Lonchura striata: one gene and its partner. The protein of the gene in region 1 interacts with the protein of each later gene in a pairwise test. Links are inferred from orthologs where the notes say so. Each region holds a gene or a part of one and is shown on either strand. Other genes may lie near its edges.

What was found. The genes of interacting proteins can lie anywhere in the genome.
Region 2: the proteins of RHOA (region 1) and RIPOR2 interact in binary tests that used the Homo sapiens proteins (3 or more experiments, as listed by UniProt). The link is inferred for Lonchura striata from reciprocal best matches to the Homo sapiens genes RHOA and RIPOR2.

The regions. Positions count from the first base shown.
Region 1 is NC_134614.1:10,402,821-10,409,814, reverse strand, and holds the start of RHOA (transforming protein RhoA), read right to left. Parts: upstream 3,106-6,994; 5' UTR 3,004-3,105; intron 1,998-3,003; 5' UTR 1,893-1,997; intron 1-1,892. UniProt on the Homo sapiens protein: Small GTPase which cycles between an active GTP-bound and an inactive GDP-bound state.
Region 2 is NC_134603.1:59,942,590-59,950,269, reverse strand, and holds the start of RIPOR2 (rho family-interacting cell polarization regulator 2), read left to right. Parts: upstream 1-4,609; 5' UTR 4,610-5,105; coding exon 5,106-5,193; intron 5,194-5,333; exon of another isoform or gene 5,334-5,648; intron 5,649-7,680. UniProt on the Homo sapiens protein: Acts as an inhibitor of the small GTPase RHOA and plays several roles in the regulation of myoblast and hair cell differentiation, lymphocyte T proliferation and neutrophil polarization.

The sequences.
Region 1 (6,994 bases):
TTTAGGAAAGACTGGCTTTTAGTTGTGTGGATGGCAAATATATTAATTAAAAGGTGGACTATAGGTATTTTAATTCAACTTTTATAGTCTCAAATGTCCTTCCCAAATGAAAATATGGTGATAGGAAAAGGACAGAAGAGAGGATGGACAGGGCAGTGTCACTCTACCAACTCCAATTAGCCTTTGCTACTTTATTCACTGTTCAGAATGAGTGGTAACAGATCCCACCAAGACCAGAAGGCACCCAGACACTGAACAGCAGTGGAAAAGTAACAGTAACTTAACCAGTGTACCACAGATAGTATTTTGGGATATTTTTGCTTATTTTTGAGATTTACCAAAAAGTAATAAGCAACCACCTCTTTCTATTTAGCTACCCACTATTTATAGCAGGAGAGGAATTATACCAAAAGGCAAGGAGCAGAGGATTTTCATCATGCATTCAGGTGTGTGCAGGTGCATAGCTGTGCCCTGGGAATGGAATGAAGGTCTGCTGTCATTTGGCACATTTATTTTGCATTGCACTGTTCTCTATTACAGAGTTTCACCCTTATTATATGTTTTACTAGGACAAGCTCATAATGGATTAATTTAAGATTTCAAGGGCACACTTGCTGTACTTTATCAACATGCTAACTTCCTTAAATTCACCCCATTACACTTCTCCTCCACGTTAGTTCAAACTACGTTTAAAAACACATTGTAAGGCAACAGAGCAGAACAAGAGAGAGAGATGAGATTTAGTACTAAAGGTAAAAGATGGTGGTTTGAGTGGAGACTTGGAAAGAACCTGATGATACCATAAGCAGCAGGGAGTAAAATGGTAGAGACACTGAGAAGGCACACTTGGCTAATGAAAAGGTAGCCAAGGTCAGAAATATCTAGCACAGAGCAGACAAGATGTGAGGAAGAGCCCACAGGATTCTGGGCAACTTAAATACATTGAGAGAAAAAGATTAAGTCTAAAAACCAGAAACCCAAGAGTTACTATCGGAAAATGAGGAAAGATGATGATACTTCTAAGACCTCTCCTAAACGTTTTCATTTGCAATTTGCTTATCTGAAGAGCCATCCCCAGTCCTACATCCTGGTGGCAGTTAAGATCATTTAGGATGTTTTTACTGTCAATTCCTGGCTCAGAGAACTCCCCGCCTCTGGCGCTTGGCTGCTGTGGCACTTGGCCAGAGCCTGAGCTTGGTGAGCAGGGATAACATGAGAGCTGCTCAGCTCAGTTCTGCTGTGACTGAATTTATTTTGCCCTTTATGTGATGGTGCATTCATGTCTTGAAAAATTATTTTTGACAAACACATGTATTCTAGTGTTAAATGATACAAATCATCCAAATTTATGGATTATTGTAAAAATCATACAAATTTATGTCAAACATTTATGCTGAATGTGCTGTTAAACATTCCAGTGAACTAATTAAAGTGAAATAAGGCTAACATTTTTCTTTTTTTAAACATGCAGCCTTGGTCCAAATCAGTACCAGAATTAGCCTGTGTATATTTGAACGAGAAATGCCGTTGTTGTGTGGCTGGAGACCTGGATAAGACCAGAACAGGGCAGGAAGAAAGCACACATGTATCAAAAGAGTCTTCAACAGCAAGCAAATATTTTCACAAACAATCTTTTCAGGGAGGGAAAGACTTAATATTTCCATACTGGAAAAAAAAATCCCCAAATAAAGCCATGCGAAAACCTAATACTTTGATTCACAAACATTTAGGACACGTACCATTAACTTTTGAAATTTCTGAGATAAAAAGAAGACAACAGAAGTCTGGTTCTGGAAGAAGTTTACCATTTCAAATTCACACAGATGGCAGAACTGACACTTAGGCTAAGCTCTGGGGGTGGGGGGAGAAGGCAACAACAAACTTAACATTACCTAGGGAAGTCTTAGTGTTTAATTTTCTCCAAATACTGTATCACACAGAGAAAGGGCGGGTGGGAACCACTGCTGGTGAAGAATTCCCTGCAACAAACAGGTGAACTGTACGAGGAGAGAAACAAAAGCTGGATATGAGGCAGCAACTAAAAACAAACAAACCCCCGTTCCAGACACCTCTTAAAGGGATATCAAAGTAGTTGTGGTATCACTGGACTGGGAACAATACTTCATCCTGAGTATCACTAATAACTAACTCTCCAGACCTCTGGGAGAAGTTTTTGGGTCTTATTTTTAAAACTCAAACAGTAGTCTCGAGGTTCCTCTCGCGCTCGAAAGAATGGGTGTCGTGGCAGAAAAGGTTTATGCGGGGTGTATTTTAACACCGGGCAGCTCTCAGCCCAGGTGAGGCTGTCGGGGCTCCGGTGGTGTCAAACCACCCCCGGCGCTTCCCCGGCCTGCTGCAGCCGCCCCACCAAAAAACACCGCCCAAACTTTCCAGTTTCGCTCCAAAGGCCGATTCCTCCCCGAGATAAAAGTTCAGCGGCGCACAACCCCCCGGCAGCCCTTGCAGAGGCAGCCCGGCACGGCCCCGTGTGCCGCGGGGGGCCCGGGACGGCGACCCCCGGTGCGGGCGGGGCGCGGCCCCGGCGCCGCTGACGTCACACAACAAGCTGCCACTCACCGGGGCACCCCCGGTGCCGCCCGTGTCACCCCGCGGGGCCGGGGGGGCAGCACCGCCCCCGCCACACCGCCCACGGCCCGGCGGCGGTACCGGGTCCCGGGCGGGGCGCGGGCGGCTCCCGCGGGAGAGCCCCGGGGCCGCGCCCCTTCCTCCCCTCCCCCGCTCCCGCGGCCCGGAAAGGGCCCCGTTACCGGCCCCAGGAACTCGCGGAGGGGCCACCCCCGCCAGCCCTCCCCTTTTGTGCGCGGCGGTGGCGGCGAGAGGCCCGGCCGGGCCCGGCCGCCCCCGCCCGCAGGCCGCGGACTCCCGGCGGGGGCGGGCGGGCCCCACCCGGCGACGGCGGCGGGAAGGGGGAAGGGGAGAAGAGAGGCCGGCGATCCGCCCCCCCACCCCGCGCCCCGCGGTCGGCAGAGAGCCCCCCGGTACCTGCGGCCTGCGCTGGTCCGGCTCCCGCCGCCTCCTGCTCCACAGGCCCGAGCGCGAGCGGCGGCGGCGGCGGAAACGGGCGGGGCGGGGCGGGCCGTGCGCGCTCCCGGCCCCGCGCGCGGCGCGCTCCCGAGCCGCCCCGCCCGGCCGCGCGCGGCTGCCAGCCCCGCGGCCAATCGGCGCGGCCGCGCGCGGGGGCTGCCGGGAAGGGCCGCTATAAAAGGTGCCGGTGCTATTTACGCCGCGGCAGTTGGGGAGCGGCGGGGCTGGGCTGTGGGCTTGGCTTTGGGCCTGTTGGTGTTCTCTTAAGGGAGGCTGCTCGCCTCCTTGCGGCCTCATCGGTGCCTGCTCCGTGAGGCGTTATCGATGCTGGGCACGGTCCCTCCGCATCTACTGCGGGAAAGGCGGCTGTGGTGGGGCCCTGAATCGCGATGCCCGGTTTGTCTGTGGGCGGTTCGTCTCTCCCTTCCGGTCCAGTGCGTGGTTCTGGGCCCCTCAGCTCGGAAGGACCAGAAGGGTCCAGGGAAGGGCAGTGAAGCTGGTGAGGGGTCTGGAGCACAAGTGCTGTGAGGAGCAGCTGGGGGTGTTTAGCCTGAAGAAAAGGAGGCTCAGGGGTGGCTATGCTACTCTGTAAAACTCCTGACAGAAAGCTGCAGCCAGGTGGGAATTGGCGTCCCCTGCCTGGGAACTAGAGATGGGATGAGAGGATGTAGTCTCAAACTGCACTGTGCTGGACATCAGGAAGGATTTCTTCACAGCAGGGGTGATCAGACATTGGAACAGGCTGCTTGGGGAGATGTGGGGTCACTGTCCCTGGAGGTGTTTAAGGAAAGGCTGGCTGAGGCACTCAGTGCCATGGTCTGGCTGACATCCAGGAGTTTGGTCATAGGCAGGATTTGATGACTGCAGGTCTTACAACCTAATTGATTCAGTTAAAGGTGGTTGGGAGCAGTGGTATCAAAGTACCCTGTTTGTCTGTGAGCCTATTTATTCCAGTGGAGCAAATGAGCTCTGCTCCTAGCAGGCACTGAGCTGTGCCGTTGGGGCTGGAGAAAGCTGAGGGGCTCACAGGCAGCACAAGGCAGGGGCTGGAAGGGTTGGAATCACAGCATTTCCTGAGTTTGTCTGTGGTGAGCTTAATGGCAAGGACTGCCCTCATCCCAGGGTGCAGATACCTGTGGTTGATGCACTGGAGGAAGGATGCTACTTCATCATTTCCATCCTTGCCCACCTGAGGAGGTTCAACATGTGGAACTGGCTTCAGGGGCCCCGGGGTGAGGTCATCACTGCAAAGGGAATGTGTGCATGGAGAGGGTTGGTGACAAACAGCCTCTGGTGTCTCTCAGGGCTCCCTTGTGAACAGGCTCAGCAGCCTTCAGCTGGCACTTGGGGATGGTCTGTTTAACCTGGACACTGTAAGAGAAACTGATGCTGTGCTGCTTCTGATGCATGATCTGCAGTGCTTCTCCCCATTCCCTCATTTGACAACATTTGCATTGCCAGCTAACTTTAGGCTGACCTTTTTATGGACTGCTCTGGTACCTGTAGAGGACGGGTGCTGCTTAGCTCCTCTCAGTAAGCAGCTCCCTGGGACTGGCTTGTTCTGCCAGCATTGCAAGGAAGGTGACTTTTTCTTACCAAGCAGACGTTTGATTCAATGTGGTAAATGGTTTTTACAGCTTAGTACCAGTTCTTGATGGATGACTGATAGTGTGCACAGTCAGAGGCCCATGATAGTTTATTCTGTGGCTGACCAGTTTGCCTTCACACCTCTGTTGCTGAGACAGAAGTTCATTTTCCTGAAGTTTATAGGGAAATTATCTGTGGTTTGAACATCGGGTTGGTTAGGCTTGAATCAGAAATCAGTTATTTCTAGGCCATAGGTTCTTTTCATAATTGTTTTTTATTACTGTTTAATAGAGATCCTTGTGGCCTACTGTTGCTTTTTTTTAATGATCCATTGGGAATTTTTGCCTTTGTTTCCAAAACACTATCGGGTGTTTTGATCACAGTGTGTGTGCTTCCTTTTCCTTCTCCTTGCCCAAGGGAGAGCACTGATTGAATTTGGGTCTGTGGCCACAGGTCCTGCTCTCTCAGGTGGGTACTGTTTGGGCATGATGTTAATGAAAGTACTTCAGGAGCTGACTTTTCCCAGTTTGGTGAATAGGTATCTTGTAATGGATTCAAAACTGATTTTAATCAAGGTAGCCAACAAACTCTACTGACAGCAATGAGGATCCTCAGTCTAACTCTCTCTGTAAACCACATCTTCTGAAGGTGTCTGTAGTGTGAACTTGCTACCTTTTCTTGTCTTGCGTGTGCTATTCAAAACAGTCTTCATCCTGACTTTCATGATGGCCAGGTTTGTGTCAAGGGTGAGAAACTGCTGCAGAAGTGCAGCTCTTCTCACACAACATTTGGGGACTTTGTTTATGTATCAAAGCAATGTATTCTGAAACTATTAGTTTGGTCATAAATCAAAGCCCCTCCCTTTCTCCTCCTCCCCTCAATTATTTTATTTTGCCAAGGTAAGGGCCCATACAGGGGAAAAAATGGTTTATTGACTGCCATGAAAAGCTAAAATACCCCAAATATCTCTTGCAGATATTTTTATTGCAGGGATACCTTTTACAATCAGTTCTACTTAAGTCAGACAGTCTTTCAAATGTGTTTACAGCTAGCAGGAAAACAACAAGAACTGAGAAGAAATAATTGGAAGCAGTAGCTGATAAATTTTTTTTTCCCTTAGGGAATATACCATGGGTTATATTTTTGGTCAAGCTATACACTTCACTGAAGAGTAAATGTAGTTTCTGTGCCAGGAAACTGAGAGCTTCCTTCAAGCACCCCAGCACTGACATGATTTACTAAGAGTGCTTCCATAACTTACCTATTAGTTAATTGCATTATAATTTGCTTTTAAAAATCTTGTCAGAAACTGGGAGTAGTATCTAGAAATGCTTGCCAACCAAACATAATGGTATGTCAATGTTGTCTTTGTTCTAGGGCTATAAACTGAGCAGTGTAAAGCATCTGTCTACCACAATAAAAACGTGGGTTTGTGTCTGTAGAAAAAACAAAACCAACCCAAAAATCCCCAACAACTTATCCTTCCCAGCTGACTTGGCTATCCAGCTCCTAATGTCACAAACTTTTATCTAAACCCAGGCAGTTCAGATTAATGAACAATGGAAATTAGCAGGTCAAGCCAAATATGCCAAGTGTCTTTTCTGTTTCCTCATATGTGGCCTAATTAAGCAAATGGGAACTCTCCCAATGGTGCCAATAAAAAAAAAAAAAAAAAAGTAAACCCAGCAGAGTTCAAACCAAAAGGAGATCTATTTCTTCCATGTAGGACATCAGTCTTCCTCTCTGCATAGTCTACACCACATTTAGGCCAAATGCAGGCTTTAATGAATTTAGTTTTTGATCTGCCTCAGAGATAAAGAATCCTGAAGGGCAAGTCACCTGTCTGAAGTCCTAAAGGAAGTGGCCACCTTAAAAGCAAGTCCTTTAGCCTCCTCCTTCTCCCTTGCTGTAGCAATTAGCTCACTGGTGTTGTCCATGGGTGGTAGTTTGCAGCTGGGCCCATGGCTGCTGTGCATGTTGCTGTTATGACAGCCCTGATGAAGGGAGAATTCCTGTGCTCTGGATAGGGTTTTCACAGAAGAGAGAACTGCTTGTCCACACAGATAGGGAAATCCAAAGCCTTTGATATGCAGAGGGGGAGCAGAAGCTCCAAAAATTTGCTGGCCTCCTCTAGCAGTGGTTGGAGAAAGGACACCTACAAGCCCCAGATCAGTGCTGCTCAAGTGTCTGGCACAGGCACCTCCAAGGCTTGGTCAGGCTTCCCTGTTGCAGGACTACTGCAGCAGGAGAAAGCAGCTCTGTGTTCCTGCTGAGAGAATCCTGGCTGGAAGGCCTTGAGACTCAGAGGAACACTGGCCTTCCAAGAACTGCGTGTCTCCAAGCCTATCCTCTGCCTCCATGG
Region 2 (7,680 bases), on another chromosome or scaffold:
CCTCCTCTGTGCTTTAGAGCTTGCCCAAAATTGCCTCAAATGTAGGTGAGGGTGCAAGGTGAACATGGGCTGGGGCCACATTTTAACTATAGTCCTTATGTCAGCAGCAAGTTTCAGAATCAGGCATTACTGCTGGATAACATGGGAAGAGATGGTCACAGTTCCTAAGAGAACCCCCAGATTCAGAATCTCAGCCTGCGGTCATGATGGACGGTGAAGGTTGTGGCAGGGACACTGGTCTGGGCATTTGAGAGCCAAGAAACAAGTAAGAGGCAAGAGATTATCTAATGATTCAAGAGGATCCCAGCAAGGAAGCTAGGAACATATTGACTTTCTGTCTACAAAGCTGAAACCATTCCTGGAAATGGTCTAACAGGGTCCTCTTGATCTTAAGCATGTTGACTGTACTAAGACAGTCCTGAGCAGGAACCTCACATGCTGCAGACCCATGGAAAGCAATGTGTTCCACTGCCTGCACTCCTCTGGGCAAGCTGGTTTTATGGCTGTCCAGCAACAGGACTTCAAGCCAGCCTATTACCAGCAGCATGGATGACACTGTCCTGCAGTCATGCTCCCAAAAAGCAGGCTGATGGTGCCACACCTGTCTCTTCAAGTCTCCAATCCCTCCTGTAATAGCTTTGATCATCTCATAGTGTAGCTGACTTCCAGCTGCCCAGGAAAGCAAAAATTACTTTACAGCAGTTTTTCAAGTGCCTTAACTAGAAAACAAGGACTGATTTTCAAAAACAATAAAAGGGGAAATATAAGGATAGAGCTGCACTACTAGACACACCATCCACACACTTGGTGTGCACGTAAGAGCGGCTCAGCCAGCCCTGGTTGCTAAGCAGTCTGAGAAACTGGAATGTGCTTCTCCCTCCAACCCTGTATGAACATTGCCATGCAAAACCTCCCCAGAAGAGGCATCAGTGCTGATTTTGAAACAGGTTCTGGAGAAAAAAATGCAGTCAGTGGCTCTTTTGTGCTGCTCCCCTAAGTTATATATGTGAGGATAGGTAGGATGTGTGCTTGTGCATACACCTCCCTCACATGCTGCCAGAGGCACAGCCCATTGAGGGGTTCTTGATCTGAAGGCAGCTATCTCAGACCACCACAAATGCAGCTGAAGGTGACTCCTTTTTCTGTCCCTGGCCCTCTCCCTCTGTATCCATAGCTGTTCCTTGACATACCAAGTGCGTCCTGACCACCATGCCACAGGACACAACTACTGCATTATGCTTTGGTCATTCCCAAGGATACAACTGTGCTGAGCATCTGGCCAGAAGTCCAAAATGAAATTTGTTCCTGAATCACTGCAGAAGATCAGCACTAGTAACTTTTCCCCATTAAGTGCCCCAGAGCAACAAGTGGAAAGAATTGCAAAAGCACCATCATGAGAAATGAGGAACTTGAGGGTGGAGCAGGAACACAGTGATGGGAAGTAAAAGGGGGGAAATGATTGCACAGTGGTTAGAGGAGAGAAAAACAAGTAGGTATCAAATTCTTCTAGAAAGAGAGCAAGAAGTGCTACAGGATGGCAATGAATGTGCAACAAACTGGACAGAGAAGCTATAAGGAACAGAGACAATCCAAAGAGCAGCATGGGCAGGGTGCAGTAGAATTGTGGCTACAATTTGACATGCATAGTTGGAAAGAGTAATGGCAAACTTGCATACGGTCAGAATGTTAATGCATACATCTTGCCCAGATTGTTCATGGCAGGTGTCAGGGTCTTGTCTTTTACCTCTCCCCTAAAAACTTTCCCTAGTGATGGTTCCAGCATCTGCCATGTTCCACACACTCAAATATGATCATTTACCTATATTTCTGGACCAAAATCCCCAGTTAAGAGGAGTCAGGTTTGCACCCTTTGTTTCCACAGAAGACTTCCCTGGGTGTGACACCTACTGGAGATGTCCCGTGGGATGTCCATCAGCAATATGAAGATGCCTTGTGCATCTTTTCTGAGCATGGGAGTTACACAGAACCACAGCAAAGACAAGTTACATCAGGAAAAACCAGGTATAAATTGTTTTCCTTAAAGTCTAGGGCAGGCCTGATCTACCTCAGACACGCAAAGCTCAAAGCTGTGGTCTGCCCAACCATCCCCCAATCTCCTTTGGCCTCCTGTTGCTCTGAACATGCTAACAAGAGACCTCCATGCAAACTGCTGTCTGCATGGTCTGCTGAGCATTGCCACCCACTACCAGTCCTTGCTTTCAGGTGAATGAAATCAGCCAGGCCTAAGTCTTTGTGTCTGCATAACAGACATCCATCCCCACAGCAAGCAGGGAAATTTCAACAATATTCAGCTTTTTCAGGGGGTCCACACAGAGCCCTCCCACACAGTATCTTATGGGGAAAAGAGAGTTTCCCCCAGACCTCTGTCCAGACTACTGGGTCATGCTCCCCCTTTCCAGGTTTGTCTAGTCTGCAATGGGCCTGATAGCCTCCTGCTCTCTCGATTCAGGGGATTCAGTGGGCTGGAGTCTGTGTGGCAATGGGAAAAGTGAAGTATCTCTCAATATATCCACCCCCCCAGACGGATGTGTAACTGATGCATATCAGTCAGAAAATCCTGCTCAGCCCTTTCAAGAAGCTTTCTGAGTGCCTGGGAGGAGCAGAGCATTTAGGTATTCTCAGACTATAATCTCTTCTCTTATAATCCTTATTTACTCTTTGGCCTGGAAGCAAAGGCTAATAGAAAGCAAAGTGCTTTAGCAAAGCTCAGCAGGTAATTTAGTGGCTCTGGTTTAGTTGTCTCAAGTATAATGTGGGGTTACCATTGCTGAGAATAAATGTTTGTGAAGGTGCACTGGAGCTGTCTCAGAGACAGAAGTAGACCATAATTGTCAATTACTGCTTTGAAAAGGTCACTGTTTTCTGGAGACAAAGCTAAAATCAGCTGTTGTCACTTAGAATTTCACTGGGGACACTCATGATGACCTATTTTTAACATAACAGAAGATTACGCTGCAATACCGTGAATAATTTATAGGCATAGTAGCATGATCACAGCCACAATACAATGGCAGCTTCAGCTCCTGCCGGATGATGGAGGGAGACAGAGCTCTCTGGCAATTTCCACTGAATTAGCAAAACAAGACACACGTGGAATGACTGTCCCAGCCTTTCAAAAGCATGTGTGTCAGGATGAATACATGTCCAGAAGGACTAAGTGGGGCAAAGATTTTATCTAGAGCATTAATCAACCTACTCAGTCTCCCAGCTGTTTTAACGAGCACTGAGGGCAGAGAAGTGGGAGTGTGTGTAGGGCTGGGTGTGATGGAGAGGAGGAGAGTAGCTTTCTGCATTTGCTATGCTAAACTATATTGAGAAACCAAGAGAAACAGCTCATACATCCCTATCACATGCATTTGCATAGGATGGAGGATATTTCCTTGAAAGAGGAGGCTGCAATATGAATGAGGTAATTTGCATCTGCAACTTTAAGTTTAAAAAATCTTCTGCAAGATAAGATCAAAAAGGCCAGAGGGAGTTGGTAACAATTGACCAGAACTGTAGGAGGCTCCAGGTTGAAGTGAGATGTTGCAATTAGTCTCTGGCATTGAAAACCTTTAACAGATAACCAGGCTTCCACAGTGAGAGCTGCCACCCTCTAAAAGGCTGAAATGGACTCAAATACATATTAAGTATGCATGATGATAGCTTTCAGCGTTGCCACAAATATTTTCTCTCCTCTTTCCCTGGCATTCCATATCCCAAAGTGCACAGATGCTTTTTCCAGAAAGCTATTCCTCCGCCTTTGCCTCAGAGTTCACATCCTGTGTGACACACATGAAATGGGAGAATAGTCCATTCAGTCAGAGATGTAGAAAGGTCACCCTTAAAATTTTGCCTTGGAGCTACAGCAGTGACACTGTGTTGGCAATAGCCCCTACACTTTTTCTAGTGGAGAAATGGGTGCCTCTGGAAATACCACAGCCTTGATTGCTGTAGAGCCCATCTGAACTCAGAAACCTTGGAAACGGCCTCTAGGCCCCAGAGGTCTGCACACCAGTGTGAAGAGCATGCTTCTCTGCTTTTACTAAATCTGGAGTCATTTTGTCTCATTTTTACTTTCTAAGGCTACAGGGTTTATTTTCAGCATACAGTATAAATAACTCATATTCATTATTCCTGCTGAAAATTACTGAAGATGATAGGTCATCTGGAATTGGCAGCTTGGAATTTTGGTCAGGGACAGTCTGGGGGATTGTTTTACATGCACAATGCTCTGTAAAAAACCTAGCTCTGTCTTCCTTGTCATTTGCTTAACTTCTTCATACAACATCATCCTCTGTGTGACAGGTCAGTGTACTCAATGAAAACATTTGCATTCAAAGTGGTGAGTCTAACTGTCCTGACCTAAAAGGGAAAAGATACAGGGATATGGGGAGGGTATCAGCATTGACTTCTCAAGCCTCCTTCCAAATAGTGTCCATTTACCAGCCTAGGAATTGGGTTGGCCAATAGATTTGCCAGGGATTCCCTCTGCCCCTCACTCCCTCTCCCCCCTCCCCCCAGAAAAGAAGCACTTGCAGCTGTTTTAGAGGCACAAGAGGAGCTTGTTGAAGGACCCTATGACAGCTTTAAATGCTGGCAGAGGAACAGAAAATCAAATAGAAAATACAACGTGCGTTTGGTATTTCTGTTGCCTGATGTAAAGTCCACTATTAAAAAAAGTCACAGAAGAGAATTGAAGAAGTCCTCAGGATAGCAACAAATATATGCAAAATCCATCTCTCTAGAGAGATATATTGATAGTAAATAGGACTATCCATTTTTGAAGGAAGACTAAATTTGAAGAAAATACCTCAGAGTCTCTGGGAAAATACAGTATTTCTGCCATTTTTTTTTCTTGGGGTAACAGAAAAACGCTTAAAGAAGGAAACTCAAGGTCCATTAATTGCAATGTTATTTCATTTATATTCGCCTTTAACTGCTGTCTTCAGCCCGCCCAATATCCAAATTTAGAGCTTTCATACACACTACTGAAGGCAACGGAGGCTGCAGCGAGTGGTCCACCGGCTGCGGGGAAGGCGAGCTGCGGGAGCCCGTTCCCTGCCCCATTCCAGGCGGGAAGGGTCAGAGGGATTTTGCAGATGTTCCGCCTTCGGGACAAACGGCCTGAGGGGCCAGACGCATCGAACAAAAAAAAGGAAGAGCCGCACCGCCGCCTCTCCCAAAAAGGTACGGAGGCACCGGCAGCGCCGGCTCCGCCGCATCCCGCGGGGCCGAGCCCGGGGGGCTCCGCAGCCCGCACTGCCCGCGGGGTGGGGGCGGAGGCGGCGCTGCTGCGCGGCCGGCCGCCCGCCCCCTCCTCCGCCTCCGCCTGCCTCCCGCAGCTCCGCAAGGAAAAGCCGGCAGCGGCTTCGCTCGCTGCCAGAGCGGCGGTGCGCGGCGACGGGAGACGAGCTCTTCTCGCTTCTCCTAATTTTTAATTATTTTTTTTTTCATTCTAAAACTTTAATTTTATCTTTTTTTTTTAAATATATAAATTATTATTCGCTGTTTATTAGTTTTCCAGCTGCGGGCGCTGCCGCCCGGGATGGGGCACTGCGGTGCCCGAGGAGCGCTGGGCGGCGGCGGGCGAGCGGCGTCCCGGAGCGGGCTGTGAGCCGCGGCAGCGCCGCCGGCAGCAACAGGTACCCGGCCGGGCTCCCGGAGGGGTGCGGGGCCCGAGCCCGCGGGGGAAGGAAGGAAGGAAGGAAGGAAGGAAGGAAGGAAGGAAGGAAGGAAGGAAGGAAGGAAGGAAGGAAAGGGGCGCTGCTGAACGGGGACGTGGCTGAGAGCAGCTCCAGGGCTGCGGGGCAGGAGAGCCGCGCTCACAGGAGCGGGTCCTAACCCCGCTCATCTGCCGGCGGCGGCGAGGTTTTGAGGAAGGCAAAGGTGCTCTTTTGGGGCGTCCCGGGCATGGTTTTAGGCTGTGATTGTGAAGAAAATCTTGACCATGGGTGTTCCCTGAGGGGCATGAAGCTGGCTTAATATTTTATCACAGAGCGTGGCAATGCTTAGCCCTGTTTCCATAAAAAAGTCTCGGCGTTTCCTCAGGTCTTGTCTTTCTATTTCCAGTGGGCTTTTATGGTATTACTGGTTAGAGGAGAGCTTAGATCCTCTTTAAGTTCCCTTTACAGTCCTCTGGCTCTTTTCCAAGGACTGATGCAAACACATAACACGCTGGCATTGCTCTTCAGTTTACCTCTGAATGCCCTGGTTACAAAAGGTCACCCTAATCCTGTGACTAGTCTTTCTATCGCTGCGTTTGCCGAGCATTTTGGCGTCTCTCATTCAAAGTTTTAAAAAGCTTTCTGGAAACAGTGTGCTTGTGGCCATGCTGCCTTTGCACCCTTTTATCCATCTCTCTGGGAAGAGCTGAGTGTATTCCCAGTGTAATTGCAGGATTCATTAATCTGGCCATGTATTCAGCCACGCTCATTTTGATTACCGTGTTTGAGCTGCTGTCATGCAGCTGGAGCCTGGGGCAGAGAGCACACTCTCAAGCAGAAACATCATCTTCTCCAGTGGTTAATTACATTTCACAAGTATCTCTCTCCTGCATAAACAAAAGTAGGAGCATACCCAAAGAGAGATCTTAAGGAAGGAGACAGGAGGAAGGTGTATTTCCTGAAAGATTCCTTTGCTAGTTGCCGAGCTGTCTGGGAGATCTTCACACACTGGGAAGAGACAAAATGTGATGTGGTTTTTGTGGCCAGACTCAGAAAGGTATCCACTGGGATGGGTTCAGAGCTCTGCTTTATAACCATAATGGGCAAATGTGACAGATTGTTCAATTTTTAAATGAACGTGGGTGGGTATATATGTTGCACAGTGGGAGTCTAAAGGAAGCAAAGTTTATCTTTTTTTCCCATAAATCCAGCGTTTTCTAAGCTAATACCTGAAGATTAGGACAGTACTTAAGATGGTGTCTGTACTGCTTGCAAGTGCAGATAAGCACTTGTGCAAAGTGAACTTTGACGATCCCAGCATCCATAACTTGATGCTGGTTTGACTTTTAGCATCCAAGCTGCATTTCCTTGATGAAGTGTGAGCTCTGGGGATTTTCTTTGTTTTATTTTGTTTTTAAAAAACAATATATTAAATTTCTTTCCAGGATCCTGCATAAGAAACAGAGCACTTAGCTTTGGCATGTTGCTACTCCTCTCTAGAATGACAGGACAGTTATACCTTAGAGGTTTTTCTGCTGCAGAATTAATATTTCTTAAATGCTTTGAAACTTGTAAGTGGAGAAGTGTGTGTTTTGTGAAGGAGCATCAATAAGTGAAAAAGGTGCTTTTCTTCCCATGTGCTTTCAAGGCACATGACCATTTTATTCACCTGTATCACAGAACAAACACTCGGGCTAAGAGTGGTACAAAGCACAGCCTCAAAGCTCACAGTGGCATGTTTACGTGCCATACAGGGTTACCTTTTGCTCTTTGATATTTTTAAACCTGAACAGGCAGAAAGGTAACTTCCACACAAAGTGCAGTGCTGGAAAAGGTCTGGGGAAGCCGCCTTGTTTCCTGCTGGGAGAAGTGGGAGTGAGAGCTATAAGCAGCATTGGCTTTTTCCAAAAAAGGGATGGCTGGTTTGACACTTTTTTTTTTCTGATGCTATACATGTGGCAGTGACAAGCTGCTCGCAGACAACCCACTTAACTGGGGTAGTTTTCATCAG